Linked DNA regions of Caenorhabditis elegans. The protein of the gene in region 1 purifies or fractionates together with the protein of each later gene. This does not show direct contact. Each region holds a gene or a part of one and is shown on either strand. Other genes may lie near its edges. The genes, in order: kin-3, icp-1 and zen-4.

Region 1 (4,752 bases):
TATGAAAAATAAAAAAAAAAATATTATATGGGTTCAAAGTATTGTAAAATGTCATATTTTCAGTGTCGCAGCGCTGTCGTAAATCAGTTTTCATATAATTATCATAATTTATTGCTGGTTTTGTTCGCTTAGGCCCTTTTTAGGCCATAAGCCGCAATTTTAGAATGCCTACTAGCTTAAACTGTGCCTAGGTTAGAAAAAAACTCATTCGAAATCTAAATTGTATCTGAAAAGTTTCGTTAATTTTTTCCAGATACAAGTTTTTTATATTATTTTTAATCATGCTTTATTATTTCCATTTAATTACCATTGGCGCGGTAGCCTGAACATCCAAATAAATCGGCTGCGGAGATCCTGGCTCAATTTTCGATGCCATTGTCCGGCGAGCAATCGATCGAAGGAGCACTCGTCCGTTGAGCATTTTAAATCTAAAACTCTAAAAGTGAACATAGTTCACAACTCAACATAGGAACAATAGTAGGTTTTTCAAACCAAAGACAATATTGATTACAAGTAACAGTTTTTTTTCTCACGAACTGTGATTCGATTTATAAAAATGATGATTGTGGTTGTTTGAGGAAGAGGAAAGGGGAGAAGAAGGAGAACAATATGAAATGGGACAAAAAAGATTTAAAATTGAAACGGAATTTCAGAGGCATGAATTACACAAAAAAATCCTAAAAATAGAATTTGCAAAGAACGTTTCTCACGAAAAGATTAGGCACTTTTGTGGTACGTAGAGGGAAATTTTCGGAGAAGCGGGGAAGATTTAATATCTTAGCCAATTTTTAGAGCAAAGGAATAATGATGGAGAGGAGTGGTGTGGAAATTAATAAAAAAGGAAATAGTCAACAGGAAAATTAAAAAAAAAATAGAAAGAAATTTTAAGCGCCGTCAATTTTGGCATCGGAGGATTGAGAAGAAGCGGAATTCGATGCACCCTGTCCGTCAGCTTGTTCAGTTCCATTGGCACGAGCATGTGCTTCAACAACTGGGCGGAAGTATTCGTGACCCATGGCCTCTTGAGCAGTTAGGCGTTCCTGAATATGGTGAAATTTATTAAAAGTTCTGGAAATAAATTAATTTAACAAATAAAAGTATTTATAGTTAGTTTCGAGTATCAAATGTCTTTTTTTTCAATAAAACAAGTGAAAATTGTTTTTATTTCTCTGTGTTCTTGTTAAAACTGGTTTTCAGTAACTAATTTGGTGTAATTTCTCTTTTTTCCGATTCTTACCGCGTGATCGTAGCGAAGAAGTTTATCAAGGAAATCAAGAGCCTCTGGGGTGACAAGATGTTGATTTTCAGCGTGGATAAATCTACAACAAATGAATTTTAAGAAAAACATGAAACTTCGCTTCGATCAAAATATACCTTTCCCAGCGTTTTCTTGAGTGTCGCCCGAGAATATCGTTGAAGCGTGGATCGAGATCAATGTGATATCTCGCAATGTACTCGTAAAGCTCATCAGTTCCCAATACCTTTGCAATGCGGACTAGCTGCAAAAAACTTTTTATAAGAAAATCAGATTTCGTGAATTTATAAAATATTAAAAATCATAAAAATTATTGATGAATATTTAATAAATACCTGACAATATTATTTATTCATTTAAATTTCAGCTCAGGGGTGCGAATCAATCGCCGGCAAGAAATTCTACGGAATAAGCCAAACTTATCAGTAAAATTTTAGCTATGGAATTCAAAAAAATAATTTCTTTATCTGAAAATAGTTTTTTGCAGCTGGAACAATTGAAAAATGCTCAAAATTGGAAAATTTTCGGTTTTTTTCGGAAATTTTAAACTTTCCGGTAATTTTTTAAGCGTTTTTCCCCATTGTTCTCACTGAAATAAAAGCCATAATCAGATAAATCAAATGTTTTCTATATTCCAATATTGGATTTTAATGAAATTTGTGGATTTGCGGTTCTTTGCTACTTCAGCTTAAAGTGCTTACCTGATCGTAGTTATCATGGCCGTGGAAGAATGGTTCCTTCCTGAAGATCATACTAGCCAACATGCATCCCAAACTCCACATATCCAACGAATAATCGTAACATTGATAATCGACAAGAAGCTCGGGTCCCTTGAAATATCTAGAAGCAACACGAACATTATAGTCCTGTCTTGGATGATAGAATTCGGCTAATCCCCAATCTATTAATCGAAGTTCCCGTTTTTCGGCGTCAATCATCACATTGTGCGGCTTAACATCTCTGTGCATAATTCCTTGAGAATGGCAGAAGTCGAGAGCCTGGAGAATAAATTGAAACGTTATGAATTCAAAAATTAATGGACAGCTGAAAAAAGTACCTTCAAGAGCTCGTAGAGGTAGTAACGGATATCATAGTCACTGAGGGTTTGATACAATTGCTTGAAGTCCGAATTGTTAACATGCCTTCAAATAGAAATTATTAATTCTAAAAATCTTCAAATAGTAAACCAACTCGAAAATAAGAGCCGGAGTTCTCGAAATAGGATCCTTGACGACGTCGAGGAGGGTGATGATGTTTGTCCCGCCACGAAGATTCTCCAAAATTTTAATCTCACGCTTGATCTTCTTCTTTTTGACTGGCTGAAAACAAACAAATTACATTTTGAAAGCTTTATTACAATTATTTTTGTAAAACTTACCTTGAGAATCTTGACAACAACTTTCTCGTCAGTGCTCATCTTGAATCCTTCAAAAACCTCCGAATATTTTCCACGTCCCAACTTGCGTACCAGCTGATAATCATCGATTTGTCCCCATTCGATCATGTGAGCCTCATAGTCCCAGTACTCGCGTGGTCTCGACGGATTCACCTGAAACAATTGTGATTTATAATATATAAACTCATAAAAACATAATTTAGTGACTTTTACAAATAGTTTTTCTTTACGAGACTATAAATTCCTATGAACATTTATAAAATCTAACAAATGTGGCGTACAGTGTTTCACAGTATTCCACAACTAAACGGATAACGTTAATTCCGTCATTGTGAGTTATGTATGAGCAATATATTCTGTTCAATAATTAACTCCTGGCTATACAAACTTGCTCACCTCGGCGTAGACCCTCGCCCGGCTAGGAATCGGAGGCATTTCCCAAGAATAACGATCTGAAACAAGTAACACGTTATTTTTGAGCAAGTTTTGACAAAACGGCTGTTATAATTGAATTATTAGAACGAAATTTTCAGTAGAAATAGTAAAATCTCGGGAAAACTGATAAAACCCGAATAATTTTGAAAATACATGCCAGAACATGAAAAGAGTACGCAAATGCGAGAGAGCGCAGAGAAAAAACCAAATGTGAACTCGTGCGTGGTGAGATATTCCCGCTGCGAAAGTCGGTGTGCCTTTAAATTTGTCATCATCGACAACGGCGCGCATTTTCTTTTCTCATCTATTTCTGTATTTTAGAATGAAATCACTTTATTTTCAGCGAAACACTTAATTAAAATTGATATTTTCAGGTAATTATGCTTTCAGCTTCACAGCTTCATCGATTTGTGCAACATATTAATCGCCAGGCAAGCCGAGTAAGTTCTGAAGCAATTAATAAGTTATTTTATGTTTTTCTTCAGAACACATGGGTATTGCGCCGAGTATTCCAACCAGAAGTCACACCGCCCGGCGGAGTACAGAAAAATCCCAATGATTTCCACGATTACCAGAAATACGAAGTTGTTGAGTTCGAAACACAAAAATCCGCTGGTCCGATTAATGTGATTTTACTTCAAGATGTTGAAGGTAGTTTTTTAAAATAAAAGAAAGCAAATGTAAAAAATTCATTTTTACAGGAATTGGCCATCAGTTCGATGTGGTTAGTGTGGATCGGACTTTGGCCCGAAAGGATTTACTATTATCTAAAAAAGCCGTCTACGCGTCGCCGTTTGATTTAAAGTACTATTCAGATATGAAAACAGTGGGTTTTAATGTTAATTTATATTTTTCAATCAAATAATAATTTCAGCGAATGGCTGAAGAACTTGCTTCTCGAATCAGAATTCCATATGAGCTCAAAGTGGTTGGACGAGATTTGCAAAAAATGGTCATTCCAATCAAAGTTAATATGGAAAATCAATGGACGATTGATAGGAATCTTGTAAAAAGCTCACTTCGTCAAATGGGAGTTTTCGTTGCTGAAAATACAATTTTCCTCGCCGCTAAACCAATTTCTGGCCCGAATTTTGATATCGAAGCAAAACTATTCCGATTCTACGTTGTTGTAAATCAACAATACATTGTTCCTATGTTAGGAAGGATTACACATATTTCAGTAGATGAATCCAAACAGGTAAAGATTGAAAAGTTGTAGAAAATTATTGAATTTCCCTTTTTCAGATGATTTCTCCTACACTGACAACACCACGTGACGAGGAATTGGCTCGATATTCCATCCGAAAAGAGTTCCCATTGTACAGTAAAAATAACGATTTCACGGAAGATTTCCCAATTTTCGAGCACATGAAAGAGCATGCACCAACAACTCCACATTAGAATTCTAATAATCAATCAGACTAGATTTAATGTGTTTCAATTCTTTATTTTTGTTATTCTTGTTTTGTTGTTTGAAAAAAATCGATTTTATTTGTATTTGATTCTTCAAATAATTTTTAATTTATTTGCTCACGGTTTAATCACCGTTTAATATCTTCCTTCATTTATTCGTCAAACTGTTTTAAATTTAATTTTATTTCTCACATTCTACAGAGTTCATACAAAGGTGCTCAACACATTTCCAAAATGGTTCAAGAAAGTACTA
Region 2 (4,820 bases), 8.4 Mb from region 1:
GACAATTTCTCAAGTCCCTCGATTAGCTGATTTTCTCCACCGCTTCCTGAAGCTGATGCGTCCTCGTTTGGCACGATTTTGAGTGGTTCTCTGATTGGTTGCTGCTGCTTCTCTTCTGTGTTGTCATTTTGACTTGCGTTGATTACAGTGGATTCCGATGAAGACGAAAGAAGATTATCGATAGTTGGAGATGGGAGATCATCATCGGATTCCCGCTTCGTCTTGGGAAGTTGCATTTTGACCGGCGTGTCGCATTCCAGGCTTGCTGGAAATTAAAACTTTATTATGAAAAATAATATTTGAATAGTCTTACGAAAGTGATTTTCGAAGTATGACGTCTCACACGGCTGGTCTCTGCTCGGCGAGCTCGATAATCTCGAATAGTCCTTGACTTTCGGTACAGCAAAGCTGCTGAAGAAATTCTCATCGAATTCCTGAATGGTTTGACTTTTGCTCATCCTATAAGAAAGAAATAAATGATAATTTGAATTCTAACTGATAGAAAAATAAATAAATAAATAAACTCGTGAATTCAGAACACGTTAATCAATGAGTGAACAATAAAATAAAAATCGGCTGAAGAATTATTATTTACAGCGAAAAAAAAATTTAATGTAAAGTTAGGGCCGATGGAGTTTTTGTATTCTCCGTTAAAAAGGGGGAAACATTGAAAATAAAAAATAACTCAATACGAAATATAAAAACATTTTACAATTTTTGAAAAAAGATTATGTCGCATGCTGGAGCGACTCCTGGCGATGTAAGCTGCTTCGGTACAACATCATTCCGAAATGTCTTGAAGAATTGTGCGAGACGACGTGTTTAACGTTGATGGACTCTTTTTCCACACTGCTGACGATCCGCGCTTCTTGACTTTGACAGCATCACTAAAGATTTCCTTTAGATTTGGCTGAAAATTTTTAAATTTTTACTGAAGGAGCTGCAAGAAAAAAAAAACAATTACCTTTCCAATCGATCCGAAGAATTGAGCCACGTCGAATGGTGGATTAATGGCATGTCTTCTGACATTCTCACGGACAACTGCGAATTCGGCCCAAGCCGGGACATCTTTGCGTGGATCATCTTCTTGATCTGTCTCGTCATCACTGTTAAGATCGTTCAAACCATAGTCATTCTTTGAGTTGTTTTGATAGGTACGTGGCGGAGTCATTTCGTAGGCTGCAGGTGGTGGCGTTTTTCGAAGAGCTTCCTGACGAGCTTGTTTCTCCGCGCATCTTGCGAGTGTTGCCTGGAGCTCTGCCTCTTCTCGCTCTCTTTGCTTCTCCAGCTGAGCTTGCTCTTCTCTCTGAACGGCCAGAAAATGCTCCTGCTCTTCTCGAGCTCTGAGTTGACGCTCCTTCTCCGCTTTCTCTTTCATTTCCTTCTGCTCCCGCTTTCGTCGTTCATCTTCTGCTAACTGTAGCAGATACTGCTCCTGTTCCAGCTGAATACGTTGCTGTTCCTGAAGAGCGGCAAGTGCGGCAGCAGCTTCAACATTTGATGTAGAAGACGAAGCTGCGTGGGCCGATCGTTTCGTCGCTTTCGCCTTTGGTTTATGTTGACGCGCCGGTGGAGTTGAATCATCACAGCTCATCGGCTCCATTTTGACTTGCCGGCTACCGTTTCGTTGCAATTCTCGGGAAGGCTGAAATGAGTTAAATTATTATTAGGAAAATACAATCAAGTAAATACTCACCGATAGTTCAACGGTCGGCTGAGCCACAGGAGCAGTCTTCTGTCCATCTGAGCCAATTAGAATCTCAACTTTTCCCTTCTTAGCAGGGCCTCGACCAGGAGTGGATGTGCTTTCCGCCGTTGGGAAGATTTTTCTACTTGCAGCCTTGTTTGGAGCATGGTCTTGCATCAAACGAGCTCTTGTTGGCGACTTTGCACTGTTGTGAAGTTTCGCCAAATTAGCATTACGCTCTTCCTTTTGCTTCAACTGGTCGAGCTTTTCCTGACGAACTCTTTCCTGCTCTTTTCTGCGCTCCATGACAGCATTCCGCTTCTCCTCGTCCTTCCGTGCTTTCTCCCTTTTCTTCTCGAGCTCTTTCATCCGGAGCTCATCAGCATGCTTCATCCTTGCATTCGGATCTTTTTCTGCATCATTGAACGGAATCACACGATGGGGCGTCCTTGGAACCACAGCTGCACGGCCGGGAGTTCCTGCCATACGTCCAGGTGTTGACGAGAAAATGTTGCGCGGAGTAGCTTGATTGTGAGCCTCACGCGGTGGATTTCTGCGAGGAGTGCCACTGTACGCTGCATTTCGTGAGATGCTTCCTTCGGTCTTCTTTTTGGATATGCTCATTTGCTGCATGCGCTTCAACGTGACTGGCAATATGTCCTCTTCGAAATCACCATCAGTCGCTACTGAGCCGGCTCGTGGAGTGATGGGTCCTGCTTGATCTGTCTCGACTTCGTCGGTTTCCATATCATCATCTCCGCGGTGACTTGAACTGGACGGTTGAGCGGGTTTCGCTTTCTGAAAAAAATAAGCATTGACGGAATAAAGTAAATTTGAGATTTTCTTACCTGTCTTGAAATCAACTCAACAAACTCAGCATCAATGCGTCCGGGTTTTAGGACGGCATTTAATAGCTGTTCCGCCGAGAATTGAGGCGTGGCCAGTTCTTCTGTGATCGAGGACATCCTCTTGTACAGATCTGCGAAAACTTTTGCAGCCGCGTCGTCATGAGCCTCGCTTACTTCATCGAATATCTGAAAGAAATATTTTATATCAAAAGAAATTATTCATAAACACAAACCGACGAAATTTTCGGGATACTCGAAAACAGTTTGATGGTGGGCTCGGCTGGCTTTCGCGAGACTGCGCGCTTTTTTGGTGGCATCTTTCTGGAAAAAAAAACTGATTTAAACTCTGTAAAATTTTCGAAAAGATGAACAAAAGTCGAAAAACGAGCGGGAAAACAATGGGAGGGCTGACAATTCGAATGGAAACGATTCCCGCGCGTGCGCAAACATAGTAGGGTGTACAATAGAGCAGGGTTGCCAAGCGCCTCATTCGACAAAAACAAAGATGTTTAAATAGATGTTTCGGCTATACAAATTATTCAGAAACTGCTGGACAAAGTTGGAGAAAAGTAAGATTTTAAAGGAAAAAACAGGTTTTTAAACGAGATTGGAGTGTTATAACGGGAATTGTTGAGTTTTTAAGTGATAGATTTTAATTTTTCATCCAAAAATTACGAAAGTAGTCTCAAAAACACGATAAAACTTTAAGAAATTCCCAGAAATTCGCCTAAAAAACAAAAAAACCCGCTTTGCGAAATCCTAAATATCTCACCACGAAAACCTACCATCAAAGCCGCATGGCCATAAACGGTAGTAAAGGCATCGGCACGACTTTGCAAACTACGGTAGATATTTTCTTTTATCATTCTTAATAGTTTTCAGAGAGAAAAATCGCTTTTATGTATTCTTTCCCTCCTAAAACTGATTATTCCAGATAAAAATGGAAGCTGAAACAGCCCAAAATCCATCGAAAAACATTGACGAAACGCTTTCAATTCAACATGATTGGCACCTCAATTTGAGGTAAATTAATATACATTTCCATGGAAATTTATTTTTTTTTCAGAGAACCAGTCTCGCAGTTCTACCTCGGAATCAAGAAATTCGAGGCTACGAAAACCGAATTCTTCCAAGTACAGATCACAAAGCTTGTTGATGAGTACGGATTCGCTGTGATGCCAGAGGAAGGCTCAATTAAATCTTCCGACTTCACTGATGTTTCTCTCGATGAGCATAAAAATCTACATGTCACTTTCCAAGGGAGAACCACAATTTTCGTCGGTCCTACCAGTGAGCAGAACCTCCGAGGGCTACAATCAGCGCCGCGCTCGTTCGACGTTTCATGTACCGGAAGCACTTTTGTTGCAGCTGATTCGAGCGGAAAGCTGATCATTGCGAATTCGAGAACTGCCGAGACTCTAGTGGGTCTTTAAAAACAATATTTTAGCGCAAAATTTTGATGATTTTCACCTGAAAATTTAATAATTTTCAGACAGAACTCACCGGCCACACTATGGACATCTACCGCTGCATGTATTTCCCGTCGGGTCTCGTCGTTATTGGCGGTGGAATGGATATGGCGATCAGAGTATGGGCAGTGGATAAAGTGCCGGCTCAGAAGACGTTCGTCGGGCACACAAAGGCAGTAACAGGCTTCGGGATCATCGGAGTTGGACGAGAGTTCCTCTCGTGCTCCAACGACGGAACAGTACGATTTTGGAGCTGCAAAAATGCTGCGCCAACCGAAACATGGAGCTTCGAGAAGGGAAAATGCATTGACATGGCAATGTCAGTGGATGACTCGAGATTCGCTGTCATCTGCGAAAACAATTTCCTATCAGCGATTGATCTGCACGGCGACAAGATTCGGCGTGATATTCAGCTTCCTTCCGTTCCTACGGCTCTCTGTTTTTCCGGAGATGAAGGTGGAAAAGCGGTGTTCGTCGGGTTTGAGGATGGCCACGTGGCGGCCTATAACGTGTCGGATCGCCGGTTAATCGGGGAAATTGTCACCAAAAAAGGAAGCGTCACCTGCCTCAAATACTATTGCAATCGACTAATTGCATCATTCAGTGAGAAAATATGAGCTTCAAACTTTATATTTAAAAAATAAATTAATTTTCAGCCACCGGAAATGTTCTCGCCTTTCCGATCCTTTCCCTTCCCACCTCGTCAAGCATCATCTCCGCCGAGTACGAGCTAACCGGTGCCGATTGTGAGCCGGTGTACGATATGGCGATTTATCAGAAGAATATTTATACATGTTGTCGTGATGGCAAAATTCG
Region 3 (6,180 bases), on another chromosome or scaffold:
TGCAAATTTCATGCCAGACTTGCGGAAAATATTTCAAAATTTCCACTGTTTCAACGAATGTATATTTCAGATCATCGCAAATGTTTCCAATTTCTTGACAAATACAGCAACACCGGATAATATGTTCATGATGAATGCAGTAAATGTATTCACTCATCTTAAAAATACTCTCTAGGCAATTAATTTTCACCGATTTTCTTTTTTTTTTCTCATATTTCTCTCACCACGTGGTTTCTGATCTTGTCTCTCGCCTGGCTTTTCCCAATTTAACTTTAATTTTAAAAAATTAAATCTCTCTGATAATCAATATTTCTGACCTCTTTTTCATGATAATCCCTTTTTATTTTTCGATTGAATTATTTTTTGAAATACCAACCAAAAAATCAAAAAACGCGTATTAAATCATAATTATTTGTATAAAACCGTGCCTTTTTCCCACCATTTTCTATGTAACCCTCGACCTAAATCGGGTCTTATTTATTGAGATTCATTTTTTTGAACGAAAATAAAAGCTAACTTATTTTCATATTTTATATTCTTTGAGTTTAATTAAAATTAAAATACAAAAGCATTTACTAGTACACAAATCATCGTCGGGAATAAAAATGAACAGAGTTCTTCAGATCGATATCAAAAAATTGTGCGTAGAAGGAGAAAAAGACGAAGAAGTGAAAGATCATAAAAATGCGGTGAGGTCTACAAAAAAACAAGAGTTCTCTTCGAGTTCGGAAAATGGGATTATGAATGAGAAACATAATAAATTAATAAATATTTGGAGAAAATTTGAAGAGTATGGTACAAATTTGACATGAAAATGCAGCAGGATGGAGGTAAAAAGATCAAAGACGGCACTTATAATTACTTTCGTGTGCTCGGAGATTCGTGAGTGAGTCTCTCGATATCGTTGAAGAACACGGCAGTGCCACCGGAAACTGTTGGAATTACATTTCCCTGAAAAATTCGAGATGAGCAACAGATGAGAAAGTGGAACACAAAAATAAATGTATTTTTAAAGTTATATGACCTAAAACATTACATGAAAAACTGAAATTAAATGCATATAGAACTAGCACTAAATTAGTTAATTTTAAGCATGAAATTTTAACTCAAAAAGTATATATCAAGCAAATTCAGGCAGTTTTCTCAAGCACTACTAAAACAGTATCTAAAATAGCCAATAAACAATCAAAAACATACAACAAACACATAAAAATGTAAAAAGAGCAGCTTCATCTTCTCATTCCCCCAGCAAACATTCATTTCAAATAATTCTCATTCATCTTCTTCTTCAACATCATGATTAGAGTATATCGTTATCGATTTTACATCCGTACACGGTGAATACGAACTGCTTTGCGAGTCTTCCAGTTGAAGTTCTGGTGGTTTAGATGGTGCCTGTTAGAATGCGTTACGTGTGTGCTTTGTGAGAAGAAAAGACGGACAGTTTTGTATCAGGAAAGATGGGTGATAAGGACACGGGAAAACGACAACGGGACGGTACAGGCGTGTTTTTGGGTGGAAACCAAGGAATTTACCTTCACTATATTCGTGCTAATGTTTCCTTCATCGTCAACTTCTTGATGCGTGAGACGGTATTCTCCGGATTTGTTCAACTGATGCATCTGGAAAACAATTGAATTACAATAAAATTGCGGAATTTATTAATGTTTTTTCCTACCTCAGGTTTAGTAGTCCGTATGGCGTTAGCCGGTGTACGAGACTGAAGAACCGTTCCTGTTGGAACTCGATGAAGTGGCTGATGATCCAATAGACGAGATGCAGACTTGGATCTTCTTTGATATTTTGGATTAACGTAACCCTGTTGACCACTTCCTCCACTTGAAGATCCAGACATTACAGTGGTCGATGTAGTGGCTTCTAACCGTTTTTTGAAGACTGGAGCACGTCCTGGAGTTTGATATGGCGGTGGTGGAGTTTGGATTGGAGCTGTTGGATGAGCCACATTCTCTTGATCAAATCGTGATCGAAGAGAAGCAACAGACGGGGATGGATTATCAATAATTCCACGAACATTTCTCATCGCCTTCTTCTGTGACTGAATAATCTTCCTGTCCTCCATTTTTTGTTCCATAAGCTTTTCCATAACCAGAGCATTCTCTTGCTCTCCTTGCTCACACGAGGCAATTCGTTCCTTCATCGAAGCGTTCTCACGCTTATATCTTGAGCAGAAACCTCGAAGCTTCTTGATTTCTTCATCCTTGTCGTTTAGAGAATCTTTGAGACGTGCAATCTCTACTCGCTGGTAGTCTGCTTCCATCATGTATTGGCGAATCATAGTAAGAAGAGTTGAAGATGGTCCCTCTTCTGATGAATTTTGAAGAGATGAAAGTTTCCGAGCATACTTATACATGGAATCTACCGTATCTTTGTCATTGCAATCCTGGAAACAATTTGTTCAAAACCATTCAATTTGTGAAATTCTTACTGTCAAACAGAATGTCGGTGGGCACGGAATTTCTCTACTTCCATCATCCTCCATACGAACAGATCCATCTAGCTCAGAATTCCATTGGGTGAAGAATGAATGAGGAATCCGCTCGGATGGCATTCGTTCAACTTGCTTTTTCACTTCAATTGTTTGTGATTCTTCAGCGAAAGCTAGAGCACTCTGAAAGTTACGAATTTAAATAATTAGTAAATTCTTTGAATTCTGAACGAACCATGTTTTCATCGTAATCATCAGGCTTTGGATTCACACAAATAACCATTCTGATTTTTCCATTTCCTTCCAGATAGTTTTTGAATAAATGAGTCAATTTTGACTGGCGATATGGAACTTGCTCAAGGTTTTGTGAGGAACTCTTTTGGTTACGACGGAGTACTTCAATACACTGACGAAGAGTCATGAGGGACTGATTGATCGAGTTGGCTTCCGCAAGACGTTCACCAACATTCTGTGTGCGCTTTGCTCTAAAATTTTTCTCATTAAACATATATATTTCAGTTTACAACAAAAAAACAAACCTCTCAGATCCAGCCAAATCTACCAAACATAACTGCGAAACGATAATTTGCGATGAGTCCATTGTTGGATACACGCTTTTCGTCTCGTAGGCTCTCGGAGCCATAACCAATTTGATAGTGAATACGGAATGAGAACGGGATGAATCTTTGTTGAGAAGAGTGGACGATACACGACGACGTTCTTCTCCAAGGCAGAACACTTCGAGAGCTTCCTCGCTTGACGAGACTTCAACATCTTTGGCTCCGTCGACGTACATCTGTTGCTGACGATCATGACGAATTTCACGCTTCGTCAATACTCTGGAACTAGCGGAGGGTCACTATCAATTATTGCTCGATTTTTCTTACCCATTTCTGGCGTCTTCCAACAAATCGTAGCAATAATTGTTGTAGATTTCGACGTAGGTTACGAAAACCGAGCAAACCATATCGTCGTTGTAGCCTGACAGCTTTATAGCTTCACAGTAACGATCAGTGATTTCGCGTGATGTGGAAAGACGGTCTGCAGCCATTTGATGGCGTTTCAAGTGAGCATCCAATGTGGCACGGATCTCGAATGTATTCAGTGCTGATGGATAGAAGATGCATTTCTCAACTCTGGAAGAAAATAATATTATTTGCTTTTTTCGTTTCAAAAGCTTACCGATTATTAATACTATTGAAAATTACATCCAATGTACGCGGCAGTAGTCCTGTGCCGGTTTCAGTGGGTTTTCCCGTCATTGTATACGTTTTTCCAGATCCAGTAACTCCATAAGTGAATAACAACGAATTCTGACCTTTCAATAGGTTTAAAATTAAATCAACAGATGTCCGCTCAAAAACAGTAGCTTGTCCATCATTTTCCGAAAAAACTCGTCCAAATCTAAACACTTTCTCAACTTGTGGAGCGTTTTCGCGTCTGAACTGTGCTGGTGGAAGAACAGTTTGAATAGATCCCTCATCAATTGCAATAAGACTTGGAGTCGAGCCAGTATATGGACAAAGACGACAAACGACTTCGATACTGTCGGTTTCTTCAATCGATAACTTCTTCCGGCGGACTTGGTCTCGCGATGGAGTTATTCCTCGTTTACGCGACGACATTTTCTGAAATGAATTGAATTAAATAAAACAAGTTTTGTTATATTGATTTACAAAAACGGTTTTATTCCAAAAAACCGTGAAAAAATAACAAATTTCGAAGAAAAATCAACAAAAACAAGTCAAAGCAAACATGTGAGAACGGTTAGAATTCAAACTGGCGGCGGAGGGGGAGGGTGCGCAGTGAGACCAGCCACGCAGATAAATCTATGCGCCTTTAATACCTATGTCTGCGTCTCTCACACAAGGCAGCGAGAGTGGTACTCTTGTAATATTGCGGTGGCACTCGCTAGCTCGCGTTTTGTCCGCCGCCACCGTGTGCTATGGGCCTTCCTTCAGTGCGGGGAGTTGAGACTGTAATGGGTTCCGAAAGGATGAAAATCCTCAAAGTTCCTGATGTGGCCGCATCAAAGCACAGGTCGGATATGATTGTAGTGAGATATAATAAAAATCATTTAAAGACATAAAAATAAACACATAATACATAGGAAGATTAATAAAAAACATACGAATAAGTTACAAACAAGGAAATTAATTATCATCTGTAAAAGTTGAGGTGCCAATATAAGATTCGTTTTGCTAATTTTTAATAGAACTTTATATTCTTTTTGTGAAAAAGTGTCTTCGTAGTTTGGTTTTGTATTTCCCCCAGATTAACTTGGTTTTGGTTCTGGTTTTGTAGTTTTTGTCTATTTTTAAAAATTGGTCAGTGTCAATGTCAACTTTGTGTACTCTATCTCTATCAATTTTTAAGAGCCAAATGTACACAATAAGTTCTGCTGATTTCATAGTGAATAAATTTCTAGAAAAAAAAAACATGATATACCACAGTGCCAGTAGCCCAACAGTACAAAGAAAACATGTGAAGTTCACTAGAATATTCTACATTTGTTTACTTCTAGAATTATAATACTATAAAAATTAATTTTCAAGTCGTAGTAAAAAATCATTAGTAAAAGATAAAACGTAGTAAAAGAGCCAATTGTAGTACAAGATCAAGTAGTAAAACAGTATTTGCCAAAAAATTCAAATAACAGAAAAAGGGCATCCTTGGTGTTCAATCCAAGCGAGCAATGAATTCGGAGCAGTTCTGAATTTGGAAAAAATGTGCCAATTTGTTGAAAAATAATTCTTTCCACAGCAATTTCGAAGTTTATTTTTTAAAACCGTCCTTAAAAATCTCAGTGTTTTCCATTTCAGACTCAAGATTCCGTTTCAGATAAATCACGTCATGACGTATCTGAAAAGAGAAGGGCGACACATTAAGATTCAAAAATCGTCTGAATTCTTGCACTCGCATTAAATTATTTATAAGCTTCTTATATCTCTGATCATCAATCAAATGGGGTTCCCAGGATTTTAATTCTTGATTCGTTTTTTTTTTGCGAGGAGCAATGAGTGGGCGCAGCCGAATCGGGGAAGCCAAATTGTTGAAGATGCTCCCCAAATTATGAAACGTTTAAACAGGATTAAACATTCTATTACGGGCACACTAAATTCTGAGAATGCGTATTGAGCAACATATCTTACGCGCAAAATGTCTTGTAGCGAAAACTACAGTAATTTTTTTAAATGTCGATTTACGGGCGGAAAGTTCGAAACAAATTTATTTTCGAATTGTGACAGCGATATTTAAACTTCCTCCAATTTTTCGTTGAGCGTCAAATGTGATGCGCAATACGCATTCTCAGAATTTAGTGTTCCCGTAATATTTTTTGTTTTCACCCTTCGTGGGAAAACTACAGAATATTCTCAATTTTCTCCAGAAATCACCACACTCCAAACACTTGGAAACTCACGAGGTGGTTAATTACTGATTCTTTGAATTCTTTTGTGTGTTGATGAGAAGAGAAGAGTTCAAAAGGTTTCTGCCGCCCACAACTTTTCTCTTCGAATATTTATTTTTTCTCGTCCATTCAATCTTTTTTTGCAAAGGTAATTCAAAAACAAAAAAATGTTAAATAAGGAACAAAACGCGAGAGTATGGAGAGGAAATTCATGCGGAAATACGGTTCCTTCCATTGTTTTTCTTTTATTTTTAAGTTTGAGGAGGTGGAATAGGTTACGCCTACACGACTTTTTGCACACAGTATAAAAAGGAGCAGAACTCAT

What was found.
Region 2: the proteins of kin-3 (region 1) and icp-1 purify together in Caenorhabditis elegans (affinity purification with mass spectrometry, with the first as the bait; one study listed by BioGRID). This does not show direct contact.
Region 3: the proteins of kin-3 (region 1) and zen-4 purify together in Caenorhabditis elegans (affinity purification with mass spectrometry, with the first as the bait; one study listed by BioGRID). This does not show direct contact.

The regions. Positions count from the first base shown.
Region 1 is NC_003279.8:10,732,373-10,737,124, reverse strand, and holds kin-3 (Casein kinase II subunit alpha), read right to left. Parts: upstream 3,104-4,752; 5' UTR 3,087-3,103; coding exon 3,048-3,086; intron 2,983-3,047; exon of another isoform or gene 2,869-2,982; intron 2,805-2,868; coding exon 2,634-2,804; intron 2,575-2,633; coding exon 2,447-2,574; intron 2,398-2,446; coding exon 2,313-2,397; intron 2,254-2,312; coding exon 1,957-2,253; intron 1,500-1,956; coding exon 1,375-1,499; intron 1,320-1,374; coding exon 1,238-1,319; intron 1,041-1,237; coding exon 885-1,040; 3' UTR 510-884; downstream 1-509. Other genes in the region: nfs-1 (cysteine desulfurase), read right to left, coding at 308-376; mrpl-9 (Large ribosomal subunit protein bL9m), read left to right, coding at 3,467-3,526, 3,572-3,737, 3,788-3,912, 3,961-4,284, 4,332-4,487; rpn-10 (26S proteasome non-ATPase regulatory subunit 4), read left to right, coding at 4,734-4,752. UniProt on the Caenorhabditis elegans protein: Casein kinases are operationally defined by their preferential utilization of acidic proteins such as caseins as substrates. The alpha chain contains the catalytic site. May participate in Wnt signaling.
Region 2 is NC_003279.8:2,303,935-2,308,754, forward strand, and holds icp-1 (Inner centromere protein ARK-binding domain-containing protein), read right to left. Parts: upstream 2,857-4,820; 5' UTR 2,853-2,856; coding exon 2,769-2,852; intron 2,722-2,768; coding exon 2,536-2,721; intron 2,486-2,535; coding exon 1,697-2,485; intron 1,646-1,696; coding exon 965-1,645; intron 911-964; coding exon 782-910; 3' UTR 579-781; downstream 1-578. Other genes in the region: tpxl-1 (TPX2 domain-containing protein), read right to left, coding at 1-265, 314-458; Y39G10AR.9 (WD_REPEATS_REGION domain-containing protein), read left to right, coding at 3,333-3,380, 3,470-3,558, 3,602-3,956, 4,028-4,607, 4,661-4,820.
Region 3 is NC_003282.8:6,116,115-6,122,294, reverse strand, and holds zen-4 (Kinesin-like protein), read right to left. Parts: upstream 4,081-6,180; 5' UTR 4,072-4,080; coding exon 3,629-4,071; intron 3,583-3,628; coding exon 3,334-3,582; intron 3,292-3,333; coding exon 2,986-3,291; intron 2,932-2,985; coding exon 2,682-2,931; intron 2,630-2,681; coding exon 2,447-2,629; intron 2,402-2,446; coding exon 1,679-2,401; intron 1,623-1,678; coding exon 1,536-1,622; coding exon of another isoform or gene 1,452-1,535; exon of another isoform or gene 1,396-1,451; coding exon 1,273-1,395; 3' UTR 1,198-1,272; exon of another isoform or gene 952-1,197; coding exon of another isoform or gene 859-951; 3' UTR 518-858; downstream 1-517. Other genes in the region: M03D4.4 (C2H2-type domain-containing protein), read left to right, coding at 71-175.